Oryzias latipes: one gene and its partners. The protein of the gene in region 1 binds, or shares a complex with, the protein of each later gene. Links are inferred from orthologs where the notes say so. Each region holds a gene or a part of one and is shown in the gene's direction. Other genes may lie near its edges.

Region 1 (4,454 bases):
GGTACTCCTGCTCAGGCCTTCTCTGACTGCTACCCTGTGGTGTTGGATGGCTCTGTTGTTGGCTGGGTGGAGACCGACTTGGCTCCAGCTGTTGTTGATGCAATGCGGAGGTTCAAGGTACGAGAAGGATGTTAGACAAGTAGTGACCTTGGAAGCAGAAACCTGATGACTAACGTGTGTGCAGGTGCTGAGGGAGAGGAAGGTTCCTCCCTGGACTGAGATCGTCCTGGTTCCTAAAACTGGAAAAGCCAGCTTGTATCCAGGTCTGTTCCTCTTCACAACACCTTGCCGGATGATGCGGCCCGTTCAAAACCTGGCTCTTGGCAAACAGGAGTTCATTGGCACCTTTGAGCAGGTATATGTTTAGCTGGTGCACGTTGAAAGACATTCTTGCCATCGAGACGGTCATCGGAGGACAGCTGTCCAAGTAAAACGGGTTTACTTTTCTGCCGTAGCTTTACACCAATGTTGGAATTTTAGAAGAGGAGATTGAAGCAGGAGTTACCACACACCAGGAGCTCTTCCCTCACAGTATGCTGAGCGTGGTGGCAAACTTCATCCCTTTCTCAGACCACAACCAGAGTCCTAGAAACATGTACCAGTGTCAGATGGGTAAGTGGGTGGGATCAGAAATGTTCATTGAAGGCTAACACCAATTTGGAGTCCAAAGTCCTGAAATTGTTGACCCTAAACTGTTTGTTTCAGGTAAACAAACGATGGGCTTCCCTCTACACTCGTTTATGGATCGCTCGGACAATAAGCTGTACCGACTACAGACGCCACAGAGCGCCCTCGTCAGGCCCTACATGTACGATCACTACAATCTGGACAACTATCCAAGCGGCACAAACGCCATCGTCGCCGTCATATCCTACACCGGCTACGACATGGAAGATGCTATGGTGAATTCAACACAATAGTTTTTACATTTCTACAGATGGGATTTGATCATCTTTTGAGCTATTTTCAAAGCATTCCCAGTAGGGATGCTACTCCATTCTGATCATCCTCTTACAGATAGATCCATGAACGTCTTTATTTTCCTCGTCTGAGCTGGAATCTGGCTCTAAACTGTACGGCTGGATAGCTCTGATATTGGTCGACATTTTTGTTTCTCTGATAATGTTAGTTAGGGGTTGTGACGGGAATTGGTTTGCCTGAGATGGTGTAAACAAAGGCATGATGGGAAATGGAGGAAGGGTCACTCTATGCCAGCGGTCCCGCCCACAACTTCAGGGTGAATTTCTGATGAACTCCTGCTGGTCTTTGGTTTTTAGATTTAGGCTAAAAATGACTTCCTCCTAGTCTGAAGACCACCTGGAATGCTTTGAAAATAGATGTTCAGAGTGGGTCTCTACATTCTGACGTTCTTTGATCTTACTAGATTGTGAACAAGTCATCGTGGGAGAGAGGCTTTGCACATGGGAGCATCTACAAGACAGAATTGGTGGACCTTGCAGACAAAGTGAGGGGGGAAGATGCTGTGGTGTTTGGGACCAAGCCAGGGGACCCCAAAGTAAACGACAAGCTCGATGCTGATGGGCTCCCTCGTGTCGGATCGGTGCTTCAGTATGGTGACCCCTTTTACAGCTACATCAACCTCAACACGGGACAAAGCTGCGTCCACTTTTACAAGTAAGCGGCAAAAATCTCTGCTCCCTTCATGTTTTGTCTCAGTGGAAGTGAAAGCCATTCTGTGTGGTTTGTAGAAGCCAGGAGGCCTGTGTGGTGGACAACATCAAGATATGCAGCAACGACAGCGGCTCAGGCCAGTTCAAACGCATCTGCATTACCACCCGAGTGCCACGAAACCCCACAATTGGTGACAAGTTTGCCAGCCGCCACGGGCAGAAGGGCATCCTGAGCCGCTTGTGGCCCGCTGAGGACATGCCCTTCACGGAGAGCGGCATGACCCCCGACATCTTGTTCAACCCCCACGGCTTCCCGTCTCGAATGACCATCGGGATGCTGATCGAGAGCATGGCGGGCAAGTCTGCCGCCCTTCATGGTCGGAGCCACGACGCCACACCCTTCACCTTCTCTGAGGAGAACTCTGCGCTGGATCACTTTGGGGAATTGCTCCGGGCGGGGGGGTACAACTACTACGGGACAGAGCGGCTCTACAGTGGAGTGAGCGGTCGGGAGCTGGAGGCAGACATCTTCATCGGTGTGGTCTACTACCAGCGGCTGCGTCACATGGTCTCTGACAAATTTCAAGTCAGGACCACCGGAGCGCGGGACAAGGTCACCAACCAGCCCGTTGGAGGAAGGAACATTCAGGGAGGCATCCGCTTTGGAGAGATGGAGCGTGACGCCCTGCTGGCCCATGGCTCCTCCTTCCTCCTTCACGATCGTCTTTTCAACTGCTCCGACCGCTCAGAGGCTCAGATGTGCGTGGACTGCGGCAGCCTCCTGTCCCCGCTGCTGGAGAAGCCTCCGCCCTGCTGGTCAGCCATGCGCCACCGAAAGACCCTCTGCACGCTTTGTGGCAAAAGTGACTCCATCAACGCCGTGTCTGTTCCTTACGTCTTCCGCTACTTTGTAGCTGAACTGGCAGCGATGAACATCAAAGTAAAACTTGAGGTTAAGTGACGTGCTGCAGGATACATACGTGCCTTAAAGCCTTAGCTGTGGTTTTGAAACATTTCAGTCAAATTCTACTGAATCAGTTCTGTAAAACCATGCTGTTATCAGAACTTTGCTTGATGCAGTTCAGAGTTCAAATCCCGTAAATTCATAAGTGTTCATTGTGACGGGGTGTCAGTTCTGATGACCGCCATCAGGTTCTTCCCAATAAAGCCAAGAGGACCTGGTTGTGGACAACATGGCGGCAAGACATCACTAGCCAGAACCGGAAGTCCGGAACCGGAAGTTTACGTCCCCTCAAAACAGGAACGATCCAAAGTGGCTTTTCCCCGATATGTGTAGAATTCTTACATATCAGAGCAAAGCAGAATACGCAGATTCACGTTGATCGAAGGGTAGAAATGTAAACGCTGGAGCTTGTAGCAGTTTTACAAATCTCACTTTGTTTATATCCTTTTTTTAAATGATTATCCTTTTAGAGCCGTTTAGGCTCATGTTGGAACTGAACCATTAATTCACATGAAAAGGTTTTAATAAAAGGTGCCACACAGTGACATCCCATTGGAAGAAGAATGTTCCCAAGAGTCTGTATTCCCCACAGGATAGTGAGAGAACAGAGGAACGTCTCTATTCCTGCTCTTAACACTGGATGACCACAAGGAAAGATCTGGAAAAAGGAATTTGTCAAAAGCGTGTCAATCGTCTGGAATCTATTTGTAACAGAAGTCTTTGTTAAGCGAGGGCAGACACCCCAGTGCGGTTCCAGCTGTCGTTCCCTTACAGCCACCTGGATCAGGTGTGTTCAGCCTTTGAGGACATCCCGGGTCAATGTTGCCTCCATCTTTACCCCTGCTAGAAAAAGGATGTTTTCAACAGCACCTTATGATAACTTCTTTATTCAGTTTGTTATGAATCAGGAGCAGATGACAAAATGCCATTTGAAAACTCTTCTAGCTGTAATGTAAAACCTGCAATTGGCAGGTCACAGTCTTCCTGCTCTGCTCCATTCTGATCATTATCCATGAACGTCTTTGTTTTCTTGGTCTGAGCTAGAATCTGGATTAGAACTGGACAGGTGGACAGATCTGATATTGATGGACATTTTTGTTGCACTGCTAATGTTAGCTTGGTGTGAGGGGCTGTAAGCTAGTGGGAAGGTGTAAACAAAGGGTTGATGGGAAATTAGGCAGGCTCACTCCATGCCAACAATCCCGCCCACAATTGAGAGTTGAATTCTTATTGAACTCCTGCCGTTTTTCTTTTGTCCATACAATTTTCTAGATTGAGCTGCTTCTATTCAACTCTTACAATTATCAAAATTTTCAGCTTTTTTTTAGAAGAATCGTAATCTGATTCTTCAACCAAATAGCTTTTTCTTTTACTTAACTTTAATTTCATGTCACTCTTCAAATCCTCCTAAAACACCTCAATGTCAAATCTTGAGAAGACATTTAGCCAGAAAGACTGTAGTAACTTAGTAGCACTCAGGCTCTCCAATTAGCGTTTAAAAAAAAACCCCACTATGGTCTGAGGGTGTTTTTTTTTTTAGATGTTTGGTTCGCGTAACCCTTGTGCTATCCTAGGCACTTCAACATTGGGAGTTGGGTCATCTAGACCCACTAGACAGTGCTCTGAACCTTTTTTCTTCAATGAATTGTGATCTTCACTGGTGTCCATGGATGACATGAAATCTTTCCACCTTTATCCACCTTTGTCATGGTAGGGAGAACACGTCAATGTAAGGGTGGGGTCATCTAAGATAGCACAAGGGTTAAAGTAAAGCAGAGTTTGTTTTCCACCATGGTCCAAAAGAAATTTTCAGTCTGAATACACCAAAGTAGACCCTGGTCCGGGACCAGAAACCACTC
Region 2 (6,147 bases), on another chromosome or scaffold:
AAATAATAATATTGATAGAATTACTTCAAATTGAACATTATACAGCCCAATATTAAGTAATTTTTTGCTAGTTCAAAGCAAATGGTTTGAATTTTTTGAGTTTTTCTGTACCTAATTGTAGTTCATCTTAACTTACAGTGGTAAAAAAAAACTGGTTCATTTAGTGGAAACGACTCATTTTAGAGCAAATGGGGGGAAAAAATGAGAACAAGATTTTAGTAAAAGTTGGCCCATCTTAATACATCAAATGTAAAATAAGCAATTAATCTTAGAACATAAATCTAAATTTTAAAATCTAAATAAAATGCATTCGAATGTCAATCTGAGTTTCTTTTGTCTTAAAGCAAGTTTTTCTGCTGTCGAGCGTATGGAGCAAAAGGATTTTGACTCGCTTTCATAATACCTTCCTCATTTCTAAATCTTATCTCCTAATGAGACAAACATTTTCCTCTGTACTGATTTTAAGATTAACCTAGAAGGGTGAAGAGCAAAGAGAAGTTAAAATAATTAAAACCTGATAAAATAGCTTGACTGTCTAAAAACTAAGTTTTAAATCTCTGCAAGGATCAAATAATTTGGAGTGTACTCTTTGAGAAAACACTGCAACTAATATCCTTCTCAAAGCAGGTTAAATAAAATAGAATACAAGATGTTTTTTTGTTTTTTTATAAGTGAAATCTGTCAATAGAAACTGGTAGAATTTGTCTTGGAAAGATTTCTTAAAATAAGGCATGTTGTCCTGAATTAGTTATATTGCTTTGATAACTGGAAATATTGTGTCTTTAAAAAAGCGTGTGTTGCTTTTAAAACCCTTTCACTTCTGTAAAGTAGGTACATTGATGGGTAAACCTACAGGACATGCTACTTCTCCCCCTAAAAAATCCTACTTTAAGAGCTGTAGACTAGAATCAAACATTCTAAGATAAAGTTGTCAAGATTAAAAGAACATTATGAGTCAAAAAATAGTTTTTTTAGCGATATTACTTAAAACAAAACATTTTCTACAAAATGTTCAGGATATGTTGTCTTAAAACCAGTCATTTTACCACACGGAAAAGTTACTTGTGAAGTAGTTTTGTCTCATGTCAAGTACAAAAATATATTTTTGTACTAGTTTTTGTTTTTGCAGTGTAGATTTGCTTCTGTCTTTATGTTTCTGAAAGTACCGCATGTTTAATATAAGACAGAGTGTTCATCAGCTGCTCAAATTCACACTTTAGGTCACCCTAATGATCTTAATGTGACACTTCCACTGAGAAGAGGATCCAGAATCAATGAGAACCTTTACCAGGCTTCCATTGCATAACATTCCACAGATTACATAACAAAGGACAGAACACTATGGGAGGGCATGACCATTGGAGTCTTCCTATAGAAATAAATAACACAATATTCTCCTATATTTATACAACTGTCTTGTCATTGCCACTATTGCAGGAAGAGAAGACATCAAGATTAAGAGGGTGAAGCCCCAGAACTACAGTACAAAGTATTAGATCTGCCGAGAAGCGGCAGATCTGCAGTCTCTGCTGTCTCTGGAGTGACCAGAGACAGCAGAGGCCTTTTACTTTGAAAATGTTAAAACAGGTTAAAACAGGTCTAATCTAAAAGAAATGGTTTCATAAAACAATATATTTGAAAACAACACATCTAGAATAAAAATAAAGAGAGAAAAATGTGAATGGTTAGTATTTTGCCCAGTGCTCTCCACTCATCCCAGCTGACAGTCCTTAAATGGCCATGCAGTCCTGCACTCAGGACCACTATCCATGCAGAAAGGAAAGAGATCCATGAGCAGATTTAAAAGAACACACAATCATGCAAAATAAACAAATAGAAGTATTTTTTTATAAAGAAAAAAACACTGGTGTCTGGGCTACAGTGGTGCTAATAAAGATCTTTGGAAGCAACTTGCATGCTCGACCTCGGGAAGGGTGAAGCATGTTCATTCACTCTGTGTCTCCAAATGGCGGTGTACCTCCAGGTAATGCGCCTCCTCCCAGCACTCAGTTACCTGCCTCTAAACATCTTTCATTCTGTTTGGGAATAGTCCCACTTTGGCTTTGATGATTCCAGTCCACATTAATGAAACAAGAATGAAACATTTATTTATAAAAATAAAAAATAAAAATAAAAGACTACGTTTCTGCTCATGCTTCATATTTCATGCTGTAGTTTCACCGCCTCACCAGCAGAGGGCAACATACGCATAAATGTTAAACTTCGGTTGGTGGCAGGTCGATCCTCTTTCCGGAAACTACGACTTGTTTGTTTTCCGGTCTTCTCACGCAGCATGGAGAACCTGATCCACGCCGAACCAAAACACGTGAAAATGTCGGCTGAACCTCTTGCCGTCTCTGGCTCGATTCCGGTGGATCCAGCGTCCGCAGCTGCAGAAAAAGCTGCGGGCGGTGCTCCGTGTTTGGTCCCGTCTTACTCCGCCGCCGTGGAGCTGCTGTCAGCGCCGTACTCCTGCCTGGTGATGAACCCCCGCAGGAGGCACGTCGTCCTCCCGCCGGTCTACCTCCACAAGAAGAGAAGCGGAATCCAGGAGGAGCTGGAAGCGGAGCTCCTGAAGTTCTCCCAGAGGTACCCCGACATCCTTTAGTGGAGTCTGTGAAGATGAAGCGCGTTAAAAAAAAAGAGACTTTATCCATCCATCCAAATGAACTACAACACAATAAATATCTGTCTGTGTCCGGATCAATTTTAAGATGATTCATTAAGACGCACTCCAATGAAAATTCTTTTTCAAACATGTTCTTGTCACATTTTTCTCACGTTGGAGGACATATCTTAAGGAAAATTGGTATTAAAACGGCTTTTTTAAGTATTTTTTAATCTAATTGTTGTGAATCATCAGGAGCAGACGAAAAAACATGATGCTGAAGTTGGCTTCCGATTCGCGAGGGCACTAAAGAAACATTCAATGCATTTCTCGGGCTAAGATCACCTAAAACCGGTCCCTGTTAAAACACCGCTGGACCTGGACCCCTCAAACCTGGATTAAATTATACATTAGATAGTTAAGAATGCATTAAACGCAGGTTCTGATTTATTAAACCTTCTTCCGATTTGTAAAAATGTGAAAGAATGATTTGTATCGCATTTTACGCACAGAGTCCACCTCAGACCAGGTCCTGTTCAGAAACCGCTGTGTGAAAAGTGCAGTGGAATGTTTCTTTAGTGCTCCCGCGAATCAGAAGCTGTGAATCAGAAGCCAACTTCAGCATTGTCGAAAAAATGCTGTTGAAAAAAGCTTGTTATTTTTATTATCATTTTGGCTGAAAAGGACATTTACATTTCATGTATTCATTCCTAGAGTACCTTCCACCCCCAGCCTCGTAGACCCAAAGTGCTGTACACAGGGAAGGTAGAATACATCATATAAGTATAAAAACAGAGATTGAAACCAACATAACAAAAAGGCAGCTAGGCAGAGACAGCGGCGTGATGGTGGAGGAACAGTTTGGCTTTAAAGCTCTCCAAGAGTGTAACCTCTCTGTTAGCCGGTGGATGTTGAGTCAACGCACAATCCCTTTAGAACTTACATGTGGTTCTCACAATAGTAACACACACTGGTCAGCAGAGCACAAGAACTCGAGGGGAGAATATTTTAAAAGCAGACTAGGTAAGAAGATGCCGTACCTGCTAATGACAAAAACAAAAACAGGAATTTTCTTTTTCTTTTTAAAAAAAAAAACGATTGCATGGGCAGTCAGTTTAAGGAGACCAGGATTGGGGTAATGCGCTCAGATTTCTTTGTACCACGAATAAATCTGCCGGCTGCATTTTGAACTAGCTGCAGCCTCGCTATTGCGGGACACCGCATATAAGGAGCTGCAATAATTTAGCCTTGACTACACAGAAGATGCTACACAATTACAAAATCTAATTTGGATAAAAAAACCATAATCCTCGCCAAACGCTGCAGCTGAAAAAAGCAGGACCTGGTTACAGCCTTTATTTGGAGGTCCACTTTCAAGGTAGCATCGAGTTTCACGCCTAGGTTATAGACCACAGACTGTTGAAACGGGGCGAGCGAGAGGAGATGAAGACCGCGATCCTTTCGACCACGACGGGAAAACATAATTACTGCAGTTTTTGTTTCATTAAGCCCAAAGAAGTTAGCCGACATCCACTTGGCCGTCCAGTTGTTGCCTGAACAGTCGGGACATTTGCGCATAGCAACAAAGATTTGGCAGTCGTCTGCATAAAGATGGAAATCCACTTTATGCTTACTAACCAGCAGTAGTCACGTGAACATAGGTACCGTCTTACTCCGCCGCCGTGGAGCTGCTGTCAGCGCCAACCTCACCCTCATCCGACTTTTATGGTGCAATTGATAAATTTAAAAAAAAGTGTTTTATTTTTAAATATGATTATAAATGGGAATCCACCATTTGAACAACTTTATTAGCAGCATCCTCGTAATATTAGACCGCTGGTTGTTGAATGTTATGTATTATTATTATTGTCTGTGGGAACAACTGTCACAATAAATCCTTTTTTTTCTGTTAAATGCTGCTGTTTTTTTATTTTGAAGTCAAAGGATCGTCTTCTGTTTCCTCACTGGCTCTTCTCTGCAAAAAGAAACTTTCCAAATGTGTTTGTTTTTTGCTAACTGTGCTAGCTTCGGGGCTGCAGTTTGCGCACGCTTTAAGAAAGTATCGATGGATTTTCAACACGCAACCAAGCGACTTGAAGAATGAGTTGGATGCGGTGAAGAATCCAGTAGATTTTTAAAATAAAACTTCACCCAGAACTAAATAAAACAGAAATAATGGAGGTCCTGTTTTTTTCTCTGCGGCCCGGTACCATTTGTCCAACAAACTGGTACCGGTCTACCGCCCAGGGGTTGGGGATGCCTTTAACATACCTTAAGTTTACCTTAAAGAATCCGGTATTTAAGAGATACCTGAGAGCCCTGAATGTTGTCCAGAGAACCTGGAGAGTGCCATCCTCCAAGAGCGTTGGGCACTGGGTTAAGATGGTGGAGTATGATCCCCTCTGGGTTCTTTGGGATGGACAGTTTTAGGTACTAGGACCACACAGAACATTTTGTCTAGGTATTTACCTTCTTGTTTAGTTTATTCCAGTCAGCTGATGTTTGTTCGTCTGGCTGTGACACAACTTTTCTCAGCTATGTGTACATGTGCCTTGCAGTCTGAACGGAGTACCCCTGGCTTATGACAACATCCGGATAGTGGGCAGACATGGAGACATCTACGATGACAGCGGCTACATTCACATGGACATAGAGGCCAATTTTGTTGTATTTCAACCCAAAAAAGGGCAGAAACTCCTGGTATGTTTTTGTTTTTCTTTGGTAAAAGCTATTATATTTGCAGAGGAGCTGAAGCTTTGTTTAGAGAATAATGCAGACATACTACAGCATGAACAGATGCTCTATTTCCCGCAGGGTAAAGTAAATAAACTAGGAGTGAGCCATGTTGGCTGTCTTGTGCACGGCTGTTTCAATGCCAGCATCCCAAAACCAAATCTCGTCTCTGTGGAAACCTGGAGGGATGCGGGGCCCAAGATCGGGTCGGAGCTGGAGTTTGAGGTGACAGCTCTGGATGCGGACGCTGCTGGGGTGCTTCTGATCAGAGGACGTCTGCTCAAGACCAGGTATCAAATGTGGACGTTTTTTCTAATGACATATTTAGGCTAGAGTCGCCTCGCTAGCTTGTTGCGTGCACAGAGTTGGACGCCATATTGGATGTGTAATGGTAGCTCACTGGTGTGCTACCATTACACTAACAGCTGGAAAAACAAGGATGTGACTTTAATGTGACATGATTACTGTCAGCTTATAAAGGAGAACTTGTAGAAAGCATTCTAGGAATATCTGAGTGAGTTTTCTCTGACTAGTGAACATTTAGGCTGATCTTGTAGTCTATCCAAACTCAATGGTAGCACTAGACTTGGCACTATTTCCATGTTTTCTGGCAGGACCACCAATCTTTTTTTGTTATTTTGGATAATGACCCGTGGAATTGAAGCATATTACTAAGCAGTCCTTAGAAACTGTTCAAACAATCACGTGGATTTGTGTTTCCAGTCGTGTCCCGACAAAATATAGGCTGATGTTATTCCCACATATTTACGTGCAGCCAAGATGCAGATTGCGGCATTTCCCGCATG
Region 3 (6,347 bases), on another chromosome or scaffold:
ATCTTCCCCCTGCTCTTCCTCGTTCCCTGACTTTATTTTTACAGTGGCTCTGCTGGCCTGCTGATCCTGGTCACCCATGTCCTCTTCCTTGTTTACTCCTCCTGGAATCCTCACCGAGTTCTCCCCTTCAGAGCGTCCACTGTCTGACTGACTCGGCATCTGAGGGTCATCTTGAGCCACAGCTACAAACCCTGTGATGCCGGCGCCTAGCTTAGAATCATCCCCCGGTTTGTGGGAGTCCGGCGAATGAAGCGCTGCTTCATCCTGATCTGCATTTTCGCCGTCTTCCTCCAACAAACCTAGGTTGGCGCCCCCTGAGGTCCGCTGCCTTTGTCTGGGTCTCTCCTCTGAAATTGTCAGCGCTAGAGACGGCTTTCGTTTGTGGAATCGACGGACTGGGAATGAGGCCCGCTGGTCGACCGCTCTGTTGCTCACGCCGCCTTCCTCCATTCCTCCTAAAGCGGAGCTCACCAAGCTGAGCCCCAGCTGCTGCAGCAAGAAGGAGCGCTGCACCTTCGACGTGGCAGCGTTTCCTGTGAGGCTTGTGTTACCCGCTGAAGCTGGGTTCCCTCCCAAGTCCGCCTGCTGCTGCCTGTGCCTTTGCTGCTCCTGTTGAGAGTGGTGATGGGCCGGCCTCTCAGAGGAGGGCGACACAGGCAGTGTGCGTGTGGTTAGGTAGTGCTTGCAGGCTTTTACGACATTGTTGAGGTGCAAATGTGAGGCGGCGAGGAGGATATCCATGACGTTACTCTCCCCCAGCATCAGCGTCGACGTGTACATCATGTCCACCAGGGCAGCAAATGCCTCAGCCGTGACCACCTGCAAACAGGCAGTTTGTTATCATGATATTAACTCACAGCAGAGCCAGTGCTCGCTTCAGGTCCAAACCTCGCTGTCCAGCTGGATCATATTCATGCTAGCATCTCCCTCGGCGACGGTGAAGAGCGCTCTGAAGTGGGTGCTGCAGGCTGCAAGAACAGAGCGGTGGGCTTTGAAGTGTCGGCTGCCCACCACTATGATGCAGTCGCACAGCTGACCGTGCAGCCGCTGATAGTTCAGCTGCTGGAATATCTGCTCAAAGTGTCCCGGGAAGTCCATGGCTCTGCTGACAAATCAGTCCAAAGGAGGAGGAGAAGGAGACAAAAGTGAGAAGGACGTGGACATCAATGATTTCACAGGGGGCTGCCCAACAGATCTACCACCTTGACTGTTTCCCAGCTCTCCCTGCTCCCTGGATCATCAGGTGTGTTTAGCCACTCAGAATGTGAAGTTACTCAGAATGTGAAGTTAAGTTAATCAACAAGACAACAAGTCTTAGAAACATTCTGGCTTTTTGGGCTGACTTCAATATGTCATTATCAGTGCAAAACACACACATTTGACTTCCTTTTGACTATTTAACATAGACATAACTAAGGAAAGAATTTGAAGGTCAGTAGATTGGGGGTTTAAATCCAAGACTACACAGTCAAAAGTGTCCTTGGGCGAAACACTTAACCTCACGTTGCCTTGGATTGTAATAAACTAGTGAGTCACTTTGGTTAAAAGCGTTTCCAAAGACTCAACATATAACACACACAAAAGAAGGAAATTTAAGTAAGCTAGCTAATTTTTTTTTCAGAATAATTGATTTAATTTTATAGAATTCTGTGGCCTAAAATAGAATTCAATATCTTACTATGCGATAACCGTGTTGTAACATTTATTACATTCAAAAACTTTGGGTAATTAGTCGTTTTAAATTCCCCAAACTTTATATTTTTTTATCGCAACTTGATGATAGAGAATTCGGTTACTGCAAAACAGACCTTAAAGAATAGCTTGCAAGTTTAAACTGGACAATCATGTGGGTTATAAACAATAAATAACATATACTAGATTTTAAAAATGTCAAATAGCACAAATTACCTTTAAGTCTTCCAAAAAGTGTGTCCCCGAAGGAAAAAAATTGAGAAAATATTCAGGGAAAAAAAGTGAAGAGGCTAGTAGTGAGTCTCGTTAGCAGCCGCGCGGCTAGCCAACTCCTTCTAGCTATATAGCAGCACCAGCGGGTGCATTAGGTCTCCCCAAAAGATCGTCTCCGCCGACACCCTTTCCCCCACAAAATGTCCCCTCAAGTGCAGCTACCTATGGCTAACCCTTCCATTGCGGTGTTCATAACATCTCCTCTAAGCCACTTCCTCGTAGTTCTCCAATACAGTCTGAACGGCGTAGTAGTTCAACTGTCGAGAAGAAGGGAGTTGCGATGGTCGTTAGCTTTAGGATGACCGATGAGCAGGATACAACTTCAGAACAATATCATAATACCGATGATCTGGTGTGTTTCCGGCGCTTACCAAGCAGCACGTTTTGCTTAATCTATACGAACATTTATTCAGACGGCTTTTTTTCCCCATCCAGACTCACAGGGTGGCGCTGCTGCACCTTGATTGAAATGACCTCGTTGAGGTAAAGCGCAGCAGTTTGAATGATTCACCACAGGGTGTCGCTGTCGTTCGTAAGTGTCTAGGATGAAAACTATTGAGCGAAATGGTTTTAAATATCTACTTTATTAAGACAGGTGTTGTGAATAATATTTACGTGTATTTAGAAAAAAAATGTTTTTAGACAGCTTTAAGAAAAGACAAAAATTCGTCATTGACCAAATTCACTGAGCGTTACGTTTTACGTAAATACAGATGAGTGAGTCCTCTCGCTCCTTTCACAGATCACAACAACAATCATGGCCGCCTCGTGCAGGATGGTGTGCTGCGAGGAGGAAAGGGAGTCTGACAAAGCGATCATAGGTAATTATTCTCATCTCAGCCTTTTTGAAACAATAATCTCTAAAGCAGGCGAGCATACAGTCAGTATTTGAGTTATCTGTGTTGCATTCAAGTGTATAAAACTATTCCATTTTTCAGGAGTAATCAGAACACGTGAAAGTTACAAGGCAATATTCTCACACATAATCAACATTAACACGCCATTCTCTGTATTTTTTGCAGTCCGATTTTCGAATGGTTTCACCAGCAATGCAGAGGAACTGGATTTTGCCACATTCAAGAACATAGAAGAAAATAATCCGAGGAAAAAGATAAGGCGGATCGTGGTGAGAAATTGCGCATGCGTGCTCGCACACACCATAGTTTGCATGGAATTGATATATTTCAAGCAATCAATATAACATCACACTGAAGAAGAAATACAAATCCACTCATATGTTTATCAAACTTAAGATGGTTTGTCATTTTTTGATTGTAAAATAAAAAATGTTATAAGAGATGCATATCCATATATTTACAACCACACACACGTACATTATACCATAATAATTAAACAAAAATGACAGATTCGCATTCATTAAATATGTAACAGTTGTCTGTTCCATTTAGGTTGCTGAATCAGACAGGTTGTCTTATGTCGGGCAGAATTTTGGAGAAGATTTAATGAAATGCAATAATCTTTGCAGGTTTGTTATCATTACATTTTATATACATTAACATTTGATATAGACCTTTCGTATCCTTATCGAATGAGTTTTGTGATGCAATTATTTTCAGATATTATGTTGGAGTTTTGAATAAAGAAACCATGCAGATGGAGATACACAGCGCTCAGCTATTCAACATGCAACCTGTCATACCAGGTAAAAGAAATGCAATCCCCAAAACAATAACAAGCGATTTTTAAAGGAGGGCAATTTAGTAATGCCAGTTAATTTCCACCAGGAGAGGCAACACATGATGCAAAGCCTCAGGACACCACTCTGTCCTACAGGGAAAAGGTATGAGAAAAACAAGCTTTCTTTTGAAACAAACAAGCACACAGTGAAGTCATGTTTTTTTTTTCTTTCTCAAGGTTGACTCCTTGATTGAGGCCTTTGGCACGAATAAACAGAAACGAGCTCTGAGCTCTCGCAGGCTCAACCAGGTGGGCAGTGATGCTCTGCATCATGCAGTGGCTGAAGCTGCCAGCACTGTGATTGATAACAAGGGTCTGGAAGGTAAGCGTGAAGCTTTCAGCCTTTTGGAGTAATCTAGACAAGAAAATATAACTCAAATTCATACTGGACTTGCCATCATTTTTTTTTTACTACATGTTTTTTTCCCCCTTTTTTTCTTGTTAGCTCTGCAACAGGAAGTAGCTGAAACAGAGTCTCAAGGAGCCCTGTCGTTACACCTACCTCCCTGCAATGCAGATGCAGACAAAAAAGAAGATGTCTACCCCTTTGAAGAGCGTATCTTTTTAACATTACCCCCCCACCCCCAATTTGAACAGATATTGGAAATTACATGCATATGTAGTTCGAGCAAAAGCAGCACTTTTCTCCATCCTTAATTTGACTTCAACAGTACTGAGTCCAGTAGAATTTGCTGCTTTGGAGCCGAACGGTCAAAAGATGACGGCACTAAGCCAAGAGGAGCTGCAGAAGTTGAAAGACCAAAGAGGGTATGGTAGCAGAGAGCATTTTTGTCTTATTAGCCTTATTTACTTATTATTGAATTGAAATATTTCTCTATTTCTTACCAAAGGAATCTGTGTGTGATGAAGCACCTGGAGAACATGCCATCCGCAAGTGAACCTAGAGAGAAAACTGCTCGCTGCGCTTTTTACCTGTCTCTCCTCATCAAACTTGCCCATCAGAAGATTGTCACTCGCAAATGTGAGCAGAATTTTGGAATCTCAGTTATTGAAGTAGTAGATTCTAAATATCGCTGATCAACACGTTAAAATGCCCTGCCCCTAAAGTTTTGTAATGTATGATGCTTTTTCTATTCCACCCGTTTTTGTTTGCAGTTTGGACTGAGGAAGGTTGTCCTCGTGTCATTCAAAGTAAAATTCTCCGAACATTTACAGTGGAGACATACAATAATGGCAGGTGTGTATGCGACAGTACCCCCTCTTTTGTTAAGGTTTAAAAAAAAAAAAAGCTGACAAATGTGTTTTGTGTTCTCCTTTTAGGGTCCAGAACATTGTGTCGACATCAATGCGGGCCAAAATAGCAGCTCACAGTCTGGCTCTGTTGCTGCATTTGGGTGACATGACTGTTAACCTCTCACTGCTTCACCGTGACCTGGAAATCAATGAGGCCAGGTACAAAAACCCCAAATTCTCTCCCTTTAAAACATCTTAGTTATTTTACCAACTGATTTTCCAACCCGAACATAAGACGACTCTCTCTGAGGCACCACCTTTCTCTCTGTGTGGGTTTCGCACATTTTATGACAACCTAGGGTCGGACTTGGCAGCATGTCCCAACATTTGCAAAGATGGATATGCATATTCTGTACATAAAATGAAAGCGCTTTGCTGTTTACCACTAGCTCCGCTGAGAAAGTGGGTGTGTCTGTAAGCCTGGGGGCGGTGCTGGCAGCACAGACTGTTCCTGGAAGGGGCTGTTCCTCACTTCTTGATGTCACTCGCTGTTTTTTTGGATTTGGAGGAGCCGGTCCTTAGAGTGCAGTTTTTTTTTTTTTTTTTTAGAAGATTAGGGCTAAAAACACCAAAAACATTTTATTGGAGTGGGTCTTTAACAAGGTAATATTGTTGTTCTGCCACTAAAGAATGATTCTTGTTTCCCTACAGGATGCTGGAGATTGCAAAGTCGATGGGTTTAACCATAAGCAAGCCAGCCCGCGGTAAAGGAGATGAAGCACAGCTACAGGACGAACACAGATACGCCTCACTTGTTCTGCCTCTGATCAAATACGATAAGTTTGTCGAGAGACGGAAGCGCAAGAAAATGCACTGAAATTCAAAGTAGGATGTGTGGAGAGAAAAAAGACACAAAACTCTCTGTATTTGTTTACAAAATACTTTAATAAATCAAATCATTTGAGTTGTACATGAAATTATTTGACTCGTACATTTGAAGATAGAAAAAAAGCAACCAAGTTGTAAACGTCTAGATGACAGAACCACCACCTTACATGTAGGCACATTTTTTTTTTTTTAATTGTAGACAGAACATATTGCACACTGAACATTTTTGTCCTTCTTTGTCTGGTTGTTACCAAGCAAGCCTGTGGTTGTCATTGTGCAACACAAAAGTGTCTTGAATGACTTGACAACTTCCCACTGAAACGTAATGTCACAGAAGTCAGTAAGTGAACCACAGACTCAGCAGGAAACAGCAGCTCTGTGCAAGAGGCAGAAGCTTCATTTTGGATTTGCTTTTTGCATATACGTTTTAAATTTCTGAAACGTTCTTTTCAAAGCTACAATCACCGACTTTAAAAGTCCCCAAAAGAAAAAAGGGACAGCTTTACTCCGTCGTGTAGCTTTAGCTGGCATCTCTGTATCTGTCTGACTCCTGCTAGGGTTTCTTAATGTGCACGTCCTAAACAGAGAGTCCCAGATGTGCG

What was found.
Region 2: polr1b (region 1) and twistnb share a complex: the UniProt entries of both Homo sapiens proteins name them as parts of the RNA polymerase I (Pol I) complex. The link is inferred for Oryzias latipes from reciprocal best matches to the Homo sapiens genes POLR1B and POLR1F.
Region 3: the proteins of polr1b (region 1) and polr1e are in contact, whole or in part, in a cryo-EM structure (PDB 8A43), measured with the Homo sapiens proteins. The link is inferred for Oryzias latipes from reciprocal best matches to the Homo sapiens genes POLR1B and POLR1E. Residues at the interface, in NP_061887.2 of Homo sapiens: Lys254, Ser258, Phe259, Ser260, Tyr262, Gln263, Gln266, Ser295, Thr296, Gln297, Ser338, Thr340, Glu341, Ala532, Cys535, Pro541, Ile542, Asp543, Gly544; in NP_071935.1 of Homo sapiens: Gln27, Ser29, Asn30, Gly31, Tyr69, Thr76, Leu79, Lys80, Cys81, Leu84, Cys85, Met109, Gln110, Pro111, Leu112, Phe113.

Annotation. Positions count from the first base shown.
Region 1 is NC_019873.2:3,644,011-3,648,464, reverse strand, and holds the end of polr1b (DNA-directed RNA polymerase I subunit RPA2), read left to right. Parts: coding exon 1-117; intron 118-184; coding exon 185-355; intron 356-455; coding exon 456-612; intron 613-705; coding exon 706-902; intron 903-1,384; coding exon 1,385-1,635; intron 1,636-1,709; coding exon 1,710-2,592; 3' UTR 2,593-3,159; downstream 3,160-4,454. UniProt on the Homo sapiens protein: Catalytic core component of RNA polymerase I (Pol I), a DNA-dependent RNA polymerase which synthesizes ribosomal RNA precursors using the four ribonucleoside triphosphates as substrates.
Region 2 is NC_019869.2:9,792,831-9,798,977, forward strand, and holds the start of twistnb (DNA-directed RNA polymerase I subunit RPA43), read left to right. Parts: upstream 1-2,252; 5' UTR 2,253-2,293; coding exon 2,294-2,589; intron 2,590-5,166; coding exon 5,167-5,308; intron 5,309-5,422; coding exon 5,423-5,631; intron 5,632-6,147. UniProt on the Homo sapiens protein: Component of RNA polymerase I (Pol I), a DNA-dependent RNA polymerase which synthesizes ribosomal RNA precursors using the four ribonucleoside triphosphates as substrates.
Region 3 is NC_019859.2:12,630,090-12,636,436, reverse strand, and holds polr1e (DNA-directed RNA polymerase I subunit RPA49), read left to right. Parts: upstream 1-2,452; 5' UTR 2,453-2,467; coding exon 2,468-2,497; intron 2,498-2,707; coding exon 2,708-2,786; intron 2,787-2,987; coding exon 2,988-3,091; intron 3,092-3,374; coding exon 3,375-3,451; intron 3,452-3,542; coding exon 3,543-3,628; intron 3,629-3,710; coding exon 3,711-3,766; intron 3,767-3,840; coding exon 3,841-3,985; intron 3,986-4,108; coding exon 4,109-4,219; intron 4,220-4,334; coding exon 4,335-4,431; intron 4,432-4,514; coding exon 4,515-4,645; intron 4,646-4,779; coding exon 4,780-4,861; intron 4,862-4,944; coding exon 4,945-5,076; intron 5,077-5,568; coding exon 5,569-5,734; 3' UTR 5,735-5,824; downstream 5,825-6,347. Other genes in the region: zinc finger and BTB domain-containing protein 5-like, read right to left, coding at 1-819, 889-1,098. UniProt on the Homo sapiens protein: Component of RNA polymerase I (Pol I), a DNA-dependent RNA polymerase which synthesizes ribosomal RNA precursors using the four ribonucleoside triphosphates as substrates.